Macaca mulatta: one gene and its partner. The protein of the gene in region 1 purifies or fractionates together with the protein of each later gene. This does not show direct contact. Links are inferred from orthologs where the notes say so. Each region holds a gene or a part of one and is shown on either strand. Other genes may lie near its edges.

Region 1 (3,806 bases):
CTCACCATCAGGCTCTTCTCCCCAGTGTCAGGCCTGGGCCCCCTGGTCAGCAGCGCCCCAGAGCAGGGAAGAATGACATGAGCCTTAGGCAGGTATTCTGCTTGCTCTTCAGTGGCCCCGCCTTCCCCAAAAGGAGGATGCTGACACTGGTCCCCTGATAGGCAAGAACGTCCTCAGAAAATGCCTGAGTCTGAAGGAGGGCCCTTGGGGGATGGGCAGACTGGAGGGACCAAGGGACCTCTTTCCCCTCCACATGACCACCGGAAAGAGGATGAGAAGTCAAAGGAATGGCAACCCTGAGACAAATCCTAGAGAGTCGAGTTCCTGGTCCCCACCCCACTCACATCTTTCAGAGTAATGATGTTGGGGTGCTGGCCGTACCGCAGAAGAATCTCAATCTCTTCTGAAGGATCCCGCTTGCTCTTATCAATGACCTGAAGAAAGTGGGTGCATGTGGCAGTGTCAGGGTGACAGGCTCCAGGGTCCTTCCTTGCCATGGAGCAGGCCTGGAGGTCTCGGCCACACAATCTTTCATACATCTGCAGAGCTCAGGCACCACCCCTCCCCACCAGACGGGGACCTGCCCCCGGCCCGGCAGCCTTGGCTGAGACGTGGTCAGGAGGCCCACCTTGACAGCATACTCCATGTTGGTGGCCTTGTGGACACAGCGCTTGCACACAGAGTAGGAGCCCACACCAATCGTCTCCTTTACCACGTAGCCGTCGCTAAAAACCAGGTTCTTCCCATGGAGTTGCTGTAGGAGACCAAAAATTGTGGCTGACCCCTGGCTCCAGAGTGCTAAGGGTCATCTCCCAGCATTCAAGGTCTTGGCTCAGTAGAGACAGCACCGGGGAAGGGCCAGGAGACTTGGCGTAGAGTGTTGGCCATGTGACTGCAGGTGAGAGCCTGCCCCTCTCTGGGCCTCAGTTTTCTACTCTATATGTTGGGCATACTCGCTGGCTCCCAGCCTGCCTGGACTGCAGCCTGTGGTCAGAGGGCAGCGCAGGGAGTGGGCAAGAGGGTCACAACACACATGGAGAGGACTTTAGTTCTGAAAAGCCTGGGCAGGCCTGGGAGGGACGCAGGAGCCCTGAGCTGAGTTCCAGCTGTGCCACTAAGTATGGCTTTGAGTGACTTGCCTCCCCTTTCTGGGGTGTCACAGCTCAACTCAGGGGGTGTCTCAAGGTTCTGGGACATTAGCCATAGCAATGCTGAATGGTGCTTAGTGTGTGCTGCGTGCCAGGCAGTATTCTAAGCACTTTCATCAGGTGACTACATGCCCCACGGCCAGCCCTGGCTTGCGCCTGCGGTCCTTGCATCCAGTCTGATTTAATATTTGTCCTGGATAAAGATGTCCCAGTTTGGAAAATAAATTACATAGTCACCTTAACTTTATTTTTTATTTATTTATTTTTTGAGATAGAGTCTTGCGCTGTTGCTAGGCTGGAGTGCAGTGGTGCATTCTCGGCTCACTGCAACCTCTGCCTCCCGGGTTCAAGCAATTCTCGTGTCTCAGCCTCCCAAGTAGCTGGGACTATAGGCACATGCCAACACGCCCATCAGATTTTTGTAGTTTTAGAGATGGGGTTTCACCATGTCGGCCAGACGGGTCTGTTTAAATTCCTGCCTCAAGCAATCCACCCTCCTCGACCTCCCAAAGTGCTGGCATTACAGGCATGAGCCACTGTGCCCAGCCCACTTTAACTTTACATGTATTAACTCTAATAATCCTCATAATAGCTCTATGGAGGAAGATTCTATCATTTCCCCATTTACAGATAAGGAAACTGAGGCACCAGGAAGGGAAGTATCTCATCTAAAGTCCATTATCTGGTCGGGTGCTCATGTCTGTAATCTCAGCACTTTGGGAGGCTGAGGTGGGTGGATCACTTGAGGTCAGGAGTTTGACACCTAGCCAACATGGTAAAATCCCATCTGTACTAAAAATACAACAACAACAAAATTAGCTGGGTGTGGTGGTGTACATCTGTAGTCCCAGCTATTCGGGAGGCTGAGGCAGGAGAACTGCTTGAACCTGGGAGGTGGAGGCTGCAGTGAGCTGAGATTGTGCCACTGCACTCCAGCCTGGGCAACAGAGCAAGACTATGTCTCAAAAACAAACAAAAAAAACCCCAACGTCCATTATCTTGTGAATCTGGAACCCATGCAATGAGCTGCACAGTCTACATTCTTGCCTCTCAACCTGAAACTTTCATGAGGCAGTGGAAGTGTACAAATGGGGAACAAGTGTGAAGAGATACAAGTTCTTTGCTACCCTTATGCCAGAGACACGACAGTCACTCTGCACCATCACCCTGGGCACCCCCTGGCATGTACCCAGACCCTGCTCTGTGCTGGGAAATGTATAGCCATATCATCATCCAATTATCAGGGCCACAGTGTGAGGTGGGCCTTACTGTCCCTGTTTTATGTTGGAGACCCTACGGGTCCCACAGTGGCACGAGGGTATGAACCCGGTTCTGTCCAACTCAGAGCCTGTATTCACAGCCATTCTTTAGAAAAGGATAACGGAGCAGCAGCCCCTGCCCCCCTCACCTGTACCACCGAGTGCAGGGGTGCCTGCGGGGCGCGAGGCTTGCCGTCGTCCTCCATCAGGCCAGTGGCCACGAAGCTGAAGCCCCGGAACAGCTGATGGGCCCCAGCGCTAGGGGGGATGCCTGGGGAATCTGTAGGGGCAGGAGGGGAATGTGAGGGTACCTGAGGAGGTCCCCTCGACCCTGAGGCAGCCCAGCAAAGGGGGAGCACAGGGCCTGAGACCTGCCTCAGGGGCTGGCCATGGCAGGAGCCTGCAGAGGGCCTGTCCATCCCAGGCCTTAGCCCGACTGCTCATATGTGTTTAGACCAGTCCAGTCCTGATGCATGAGGAACATTAAAGACTCTCACATCCACTTCCATCCCAGGCCAAGACAGTTCGTCCCTTCCTGGATGCTCCCTCCCCAGCTTCTCCGTCTTACATCAGCCCCTTCAGGTCCATCCCTGCACAGTAGCCAAAGGGAAGGTTCCAACCACAAATCTACCACCCTGCCCGCACCTTTCAAAGGTGCCCCTCTGCCTTCAGGAGTAAGCCCAGCTTCTGAGTCTGGCAATGGAGGGCCTTGTGATCCTCCTCTTCTCTCTCCACACCACAGCTGAGCCACGTTGGACTTCCCAGATCCTTAAAGGGGTCTCTGAGCCCTTGCACACACTGTTCCCTTTAACTAGATAATCCATTGCTTGCCTATCCTTCAGGACTCAGCTCACTCGCTCCCTCCTCTGAGAAGCCTTGCCTCATGCTGCTTCTCTGGCCCCTGACTCCTACAAAGCTGCACCTGTCACACTGCCCAGCAGACTGCTTAGAGAACTGCTGTCCCTGTCATCAGAGGTGTGCAAGTACAGTGAGAAAAGCACCCCATCGTGGATCATTTGAGGTTAGGAGTTCCAGACCAGCTTGGCCAACATGGTGAAACCCCGTCTCTACTAAAAATACAAAAATTGGCCGGGCGCGGTGGCTCAAGCCTGTAATCCCAGCACTTTGGGAGGCCGAGACGGGCAGATCACGAGGTCAGGAGATCGAGACCATCCTGGCTAACACGGTGAAACCCCATCTCTACTAAAAAAAAAATACAAAAAACTAGCCGGGCGGGTGGCGGGCGCCTGTAGTCCCAGCTACCAGGGAGGCTGAGGCAGGAGAATGGCGTAAACCCAGGAGGTGGAGCTTGCAGTGAGCCAAGATCCGGCCACTGCACTTCAGCCTGGGCGGCAGAGTGAGACTTCGTCTCAAAAACAAACAAACAAACAAACAAACA
Region 2 (4,305 bases), on another chromosome or scaffold:
AAACTCCATGAGACAGTCGTCCAGAGGTCCTGCGTCCGGCCCCCACCCCCATCCTTACCAACAATAAATACCAGCCTCTTTCTGAAATCACTTTCTCACCCCGTAAAACAGACATACCAGTAGGAAAAAAAAAAATCAAACCTGGCCCTTTAAGTCTTCCGTGATCCCATTTCGGAGTTTCCTCTTCCCAAACAAAAATAGACGGGTCACTCCCTAGAAGATCTCGGGGAGAGGCTCCTATACGTGTTGCCGTGTAGCTTCCGTACCGCAAAATGGCGCTATTCTGATCAGCAGAGTTGACACAATCAAATAGCCACACGGCACGGAGACGCATGCGTGGCGACAACAACAACAAAAACCACCACCCACATTACTTGATGGCTCAGGCGTGCGCAAAGCTCCCGGTTCAGTTTCCCGCGCTGGAACTTTTCCAATAGTAAACGAGCAAAGCTCCGCGCGCCCAGGTGGCGCGAGCGCTAGGATCTGTCGGTTGGGGTCCTACTTTTACATAACGCCCCCACAATGCCCTTCGCCTTCCTCTACGTGGCCCCCGCTCCAAGCCCATTTTCTGGAGCTAGGAATCCACTCTCTGGGTTAGGAAAGGCCCTCAGGAGGCGGAGGGAAACCTGTGGAATGCCGAGAAGCCGTGTAATGAAATAACGTCACGCCTGCCCCTCACCATTACTCTGACCAGGGTTCGAAGGTCACACTTAGAGACTAAGGGGAAATGGAGAAGTGCAAGGGGACGAGCAGAATGGCTGGCACCACCTCAGGTTAGCGCACTGGGCCGTTCTGGTTCTCACACAGCCCAGCCCAGCCCAGCCCTCCCAACCCAAGTCCCTACGCACGGAGCCAAGCCGCACCTCTCGCCTCATGAGGCCGGAGCCCGGAGTAAAACAGAAGGCCCGTCAAGGGTCTCTGGCGGGACTGACTCGCACTAGGGGCCCAACAGGCAATAAGGACCCAGCGCATTGGCCAAGGATAGGCCAGTCCCCAGGGAAGCAGCACCGCGCCGGGACTAGAGGGCAACTGTGAGGAGAGCTGCGAGGAGGGGTCCAGCCTGGCTCCCTCCTTTCCCCGCCCTAAGTCAGCTTCTTCGCCCAGTGAGCACACAACTGTATTGCCCAGGCTCCCAGGCCCCGAACGCCATACCTGGTTTCCGCTTCCGGTGGCTTCTCGTTGCGCCCCGCCCGCAAGCGTCCTCCTCCGGGGATTCGTGACAGCCAGGTCGTGCGCGGGTCATCCTGGGATTGGTAGTTCGCTTTCCCTCACTTAGCCGGTTTCTCTCTCTACCGGGGACTCCGCGTCCCGGCATCCACCGCGGCACCTGACCCTTGGCGCTTGCGTGTTGCCCTCTTCCCCACCCTCCCCAATTTCCACTCCCCCCACCCCACTTCGCCTGCCGCGGTCGGGTCCGCGGCCTGCGCTGTAGCGGTCGCCGCCGTTCCTTCGAAGTAGCAACTTCCCTACCCCACCCCAGTCCTGGTCCCCGTCCAGCTGGTGAGTCTGAGGTCTTCGCTGCTCCTAGTCGCTTGTCGCTGGGAGCCGCACATGGGTCTCCGCACTTTGATATGGGGGCGGGGGGAGGAAGCAACCAGGTCCGGCAAGGAGGGAGAGGTGGCTTGAGGAGCGGAGGGGGGATGTGTGGAATCCGGTGAAAGGGACCTGACAGTCGCCCCCAACCCTTGAGAAAAGGAGGGGCCCGATTCTTGCTTGAGAGTGATAAACTTTGAAATCCTTGGGAAAGGCGCCGGGGTCGTGCAGAGACTTGCATTGGTACGGAGCCTGAGTCGAGGTCCCTGCCGGAGTTGACACAGAGAAGAGAGGGCCCTGGCTTTCGGGAGCTCCAGGGACGTGGGTCGGGCTGGTGGGTCAAAGTATCTGTTGGCTTCTTTCAAGTGGTGGGACCCCAAAGAATGTTTAACGTCAAAGAAAAGGGAACTGAGATGTAAATTGGAGGAGTTGGAGAGGAGTGCTTCAGAGTTTGGGATCCTTTAAGAAAGGGTGGTTCTAATGTGGGAGGAGGGAGGATACCCGAGGCAGGGAAGGAGAACTTGAGCTTTACTGACACTCTTTTTTTCAGCTGACGTGAAGATGAGCAGCTCAGAGGAGGTGTCCTGGATTTCCTGGTTCTGTGGGCTCCGTGGCAATGAATTCTTCTGTGAAGTGAGTTCTCTTCGACCTCCCTACTTGCTGGCTTCACATATCTTCCCACCAGATGTTCCTTCACGTATTCCACTTCTACACTGTTCTCTTACATACTACTTGAAAACTTCCCATCAACGAAGAGTCCCCTCAATAACCCCCGACGAACCTGTGCTAAAGTGGCAAAACTGGGGCCCAAGTTTTGACTCTGCCACCCTCCAGCAGGCAATTTGTGTCTTTTTCTTTATCTTTTTTTTGAGACTGGGTCTCACTGTGTCGCCCAGGCTGGAGTGTAGTGGTGCGATCTCGGCTCACTGCGACCTCTGCCTCCCAGGTTCAAGCGATTCTCCTGCTCCAGCCACCCAAGTAGCTGGGATTACAAGTACCCGCCACCACACCCGGCTAATTTTTGGATTTTTAGTAGAGACAGGGTTTCACCATGTTGGCCAGGCTGGTCTCAAACTCCAGACCTCAGGTGATCTGCCCGCCTCAGCCTCCCAAAGTGCTGGGATTACAGGCATAAGCCATTGCGCCCAGCCTGTATCTTTTATTACTAAAGTTGTACTGCTAGTACATGTCTCAGCTGGCTGTTAGGAAAATTGAAATGCTACGTATTGAAATGTTTTGTTCAGAAACCATGCCGTTCAGCTTCCATCCTCCTCAGCCAGCTGAGAGGACAAAACTGGTTCCTAGAGATGGAGTACAGGAGTAGGGACAGAGATCTTGAAAAGAATGTCTAAGAAAAAGATTGCTGTACCTGCTTATCCTTAGAAAAGAAAAGCCAAAGCTTTATGGGAGGGAGTATAGGTGAACTAGGGAGAGACGCAAGTACTTCTGCTGAGTTGGGAGTGAGAAACAAGCGGAACAGATGCAGTTGTGTTGATGATAAGGCATCAGTTAGAGCATTTTGCCCAGGTCAAAGATGGGGATTTTGATATGGGTTCCCTCTTGGCTTCCATGTCCCCACAGGTGGATGAAGACTACATTCAGGACAAATTTAATCTTACTGGACTCAATGAGCAGGTTCCTCACTATCGACAAGCTCTAGACATGATCTTGGACCTGGAGCCTGGTGAGGCACCCTCAGGGTTGTTTTGTGTGTGTGCATGCACTTTTTTTCTCTTCAAATCTATATTCACTTACTTGAATTTTGAAATTTCCTTTGGTTCTCTGATTTCTTTAACCCCAAATTCATGCTTTATTTTGATCCTCCACCTGACTGTGTCTAGTTTTGTGACGTATATCACTTGTTCCCATGTTTTCTAAATCCACAATTCAGATGTTTTCCAAAATATGTTTCCTCATGGGTCTGGTTTGCTATTTCTCCTGCTTTGCACCTTCCAGTCTAGAGTTTCATCTTTTGCATTGACATTGTTGCAGTTATGTATTGGGGAGGGAGCTGGGAGGGAGAGTGGGGAGCGGAGGCTAAAGAGGTGTGAAGAGAAGACAGAGCTGTCTTGGGTTGGCGCAAGGGTCAGAAGCCCAGGTTTCTGGGTCACATGCCCAGATGTTGGATGGGGTAAGGCCCAAAAGTAGGTGCCAGGCGAACTGAATAGTCCGCACCCCCTGGATATGGGCAGGGCACCTAGGAAAGCTGAAAAACAAGTGGTTGCATTTGGCCGGGCTGTGTTTCAGATGAAGAACTGGAAGACAACCCCAACCAGAGTGACCTGATTGAGCAGGCTGCCGAGATGCTTTATGGATTGATCCACGCCCGCTACATCCTTACCAACCGTGGCATTGCCCAGATGGTGAGGCCTCTCTGCTCCTAATTGCCTCCTTCTGAGCAGTAAGGGACACAGGTTCCTGCAGCAAGAAGTCATGTTTAAGCCTTGTTTAAGGAAACTGGCTGAGAAGAGGAGAAGAACCCCAGGCTTGGGCCTGGGAATTGAATTCTGATTGGGGGTCATCCTGAAGGGATAATTTTCAGGGAGGGAGACAGTCCTTGAACAGAGAGTTGTGATAGACTGCCTCTTCCTCAGGGAACAAACAACAAATGGCTCTGATGGTTTGTAGCCTGCCTAACTGGAAGAAAGGCAACATAGGAGTTTGAGAGCCCATCTGGGCCAGAGAAGGGGCCTCTGGACAGAGGTGGGAGGAGTGGGGGACAGAGTGATATGGGTTGAGCTGAGAAGGGAGTTGCCTCTTCTCTTCACACCT

Evidence for each region.
Region 2: the proteins of RPS6KA1 (region 1) and CSNK2B purify together in Homo sapiens (affinity purification with mass spectrometry; 4 studies listed by BioGRID and IntAct, with this or other methods). This does not show direct contact. The link is inferred for Macaca mulatta from reciprocal best matches to the Homo sapiens genes RPS6KA1 and CSNK2B.

Annotation. Positions count from the first base shown.
Region 1 is NC_133406.1:214,427,770-214,431,575, forward strand, and holds part of RPS6KA1 (ribosomal protein S6 kinase alpha-1), read right to left. Parts: intron 2,688-3,806; coding exon 2,557-2,687; intron 755-2,556; coding exon 629-754; intron 435-628; coding exon 345-434; intron 1-344. UniProt on the Homo sapiens protein: Serine/threonine-protein kinase that acts downstream of ERK (MAPK1/ERK2 and MAPK3/ERK1) signaling and mediates mitogenic and stress-induced activation of the transcription factors CREB1, ETV1/ER81 and NR4A1/NUR77, regulates translation through RPS6 and EIF4B phosphorylation, and mediates cellular proliferation, survival, and differentiation by modulating mTOR signaling and repressing pro-apoptotic function of BAD and DAPK1.
Region 2 is NC_133409.1:150,652,866-150,657,170, reverse strand, and holds the start of CSNK2B (casein kinase II subunit beta), read left to right. Parts: upstream 1-1,453; 5' UTR 1,454-1,500; intron 1,501-2,083; 5' UTR 2,084-2,094; coding exon 2,095-2,166; intron 2,167-3,114; coding exon 3,115-3,217; intron 3,218-3,780; coding exon 3,781-3,896; intron 3,897-4,305. UniProt on the Homo sapiens protein: Regulatory subunit of casein kinase II/CK2.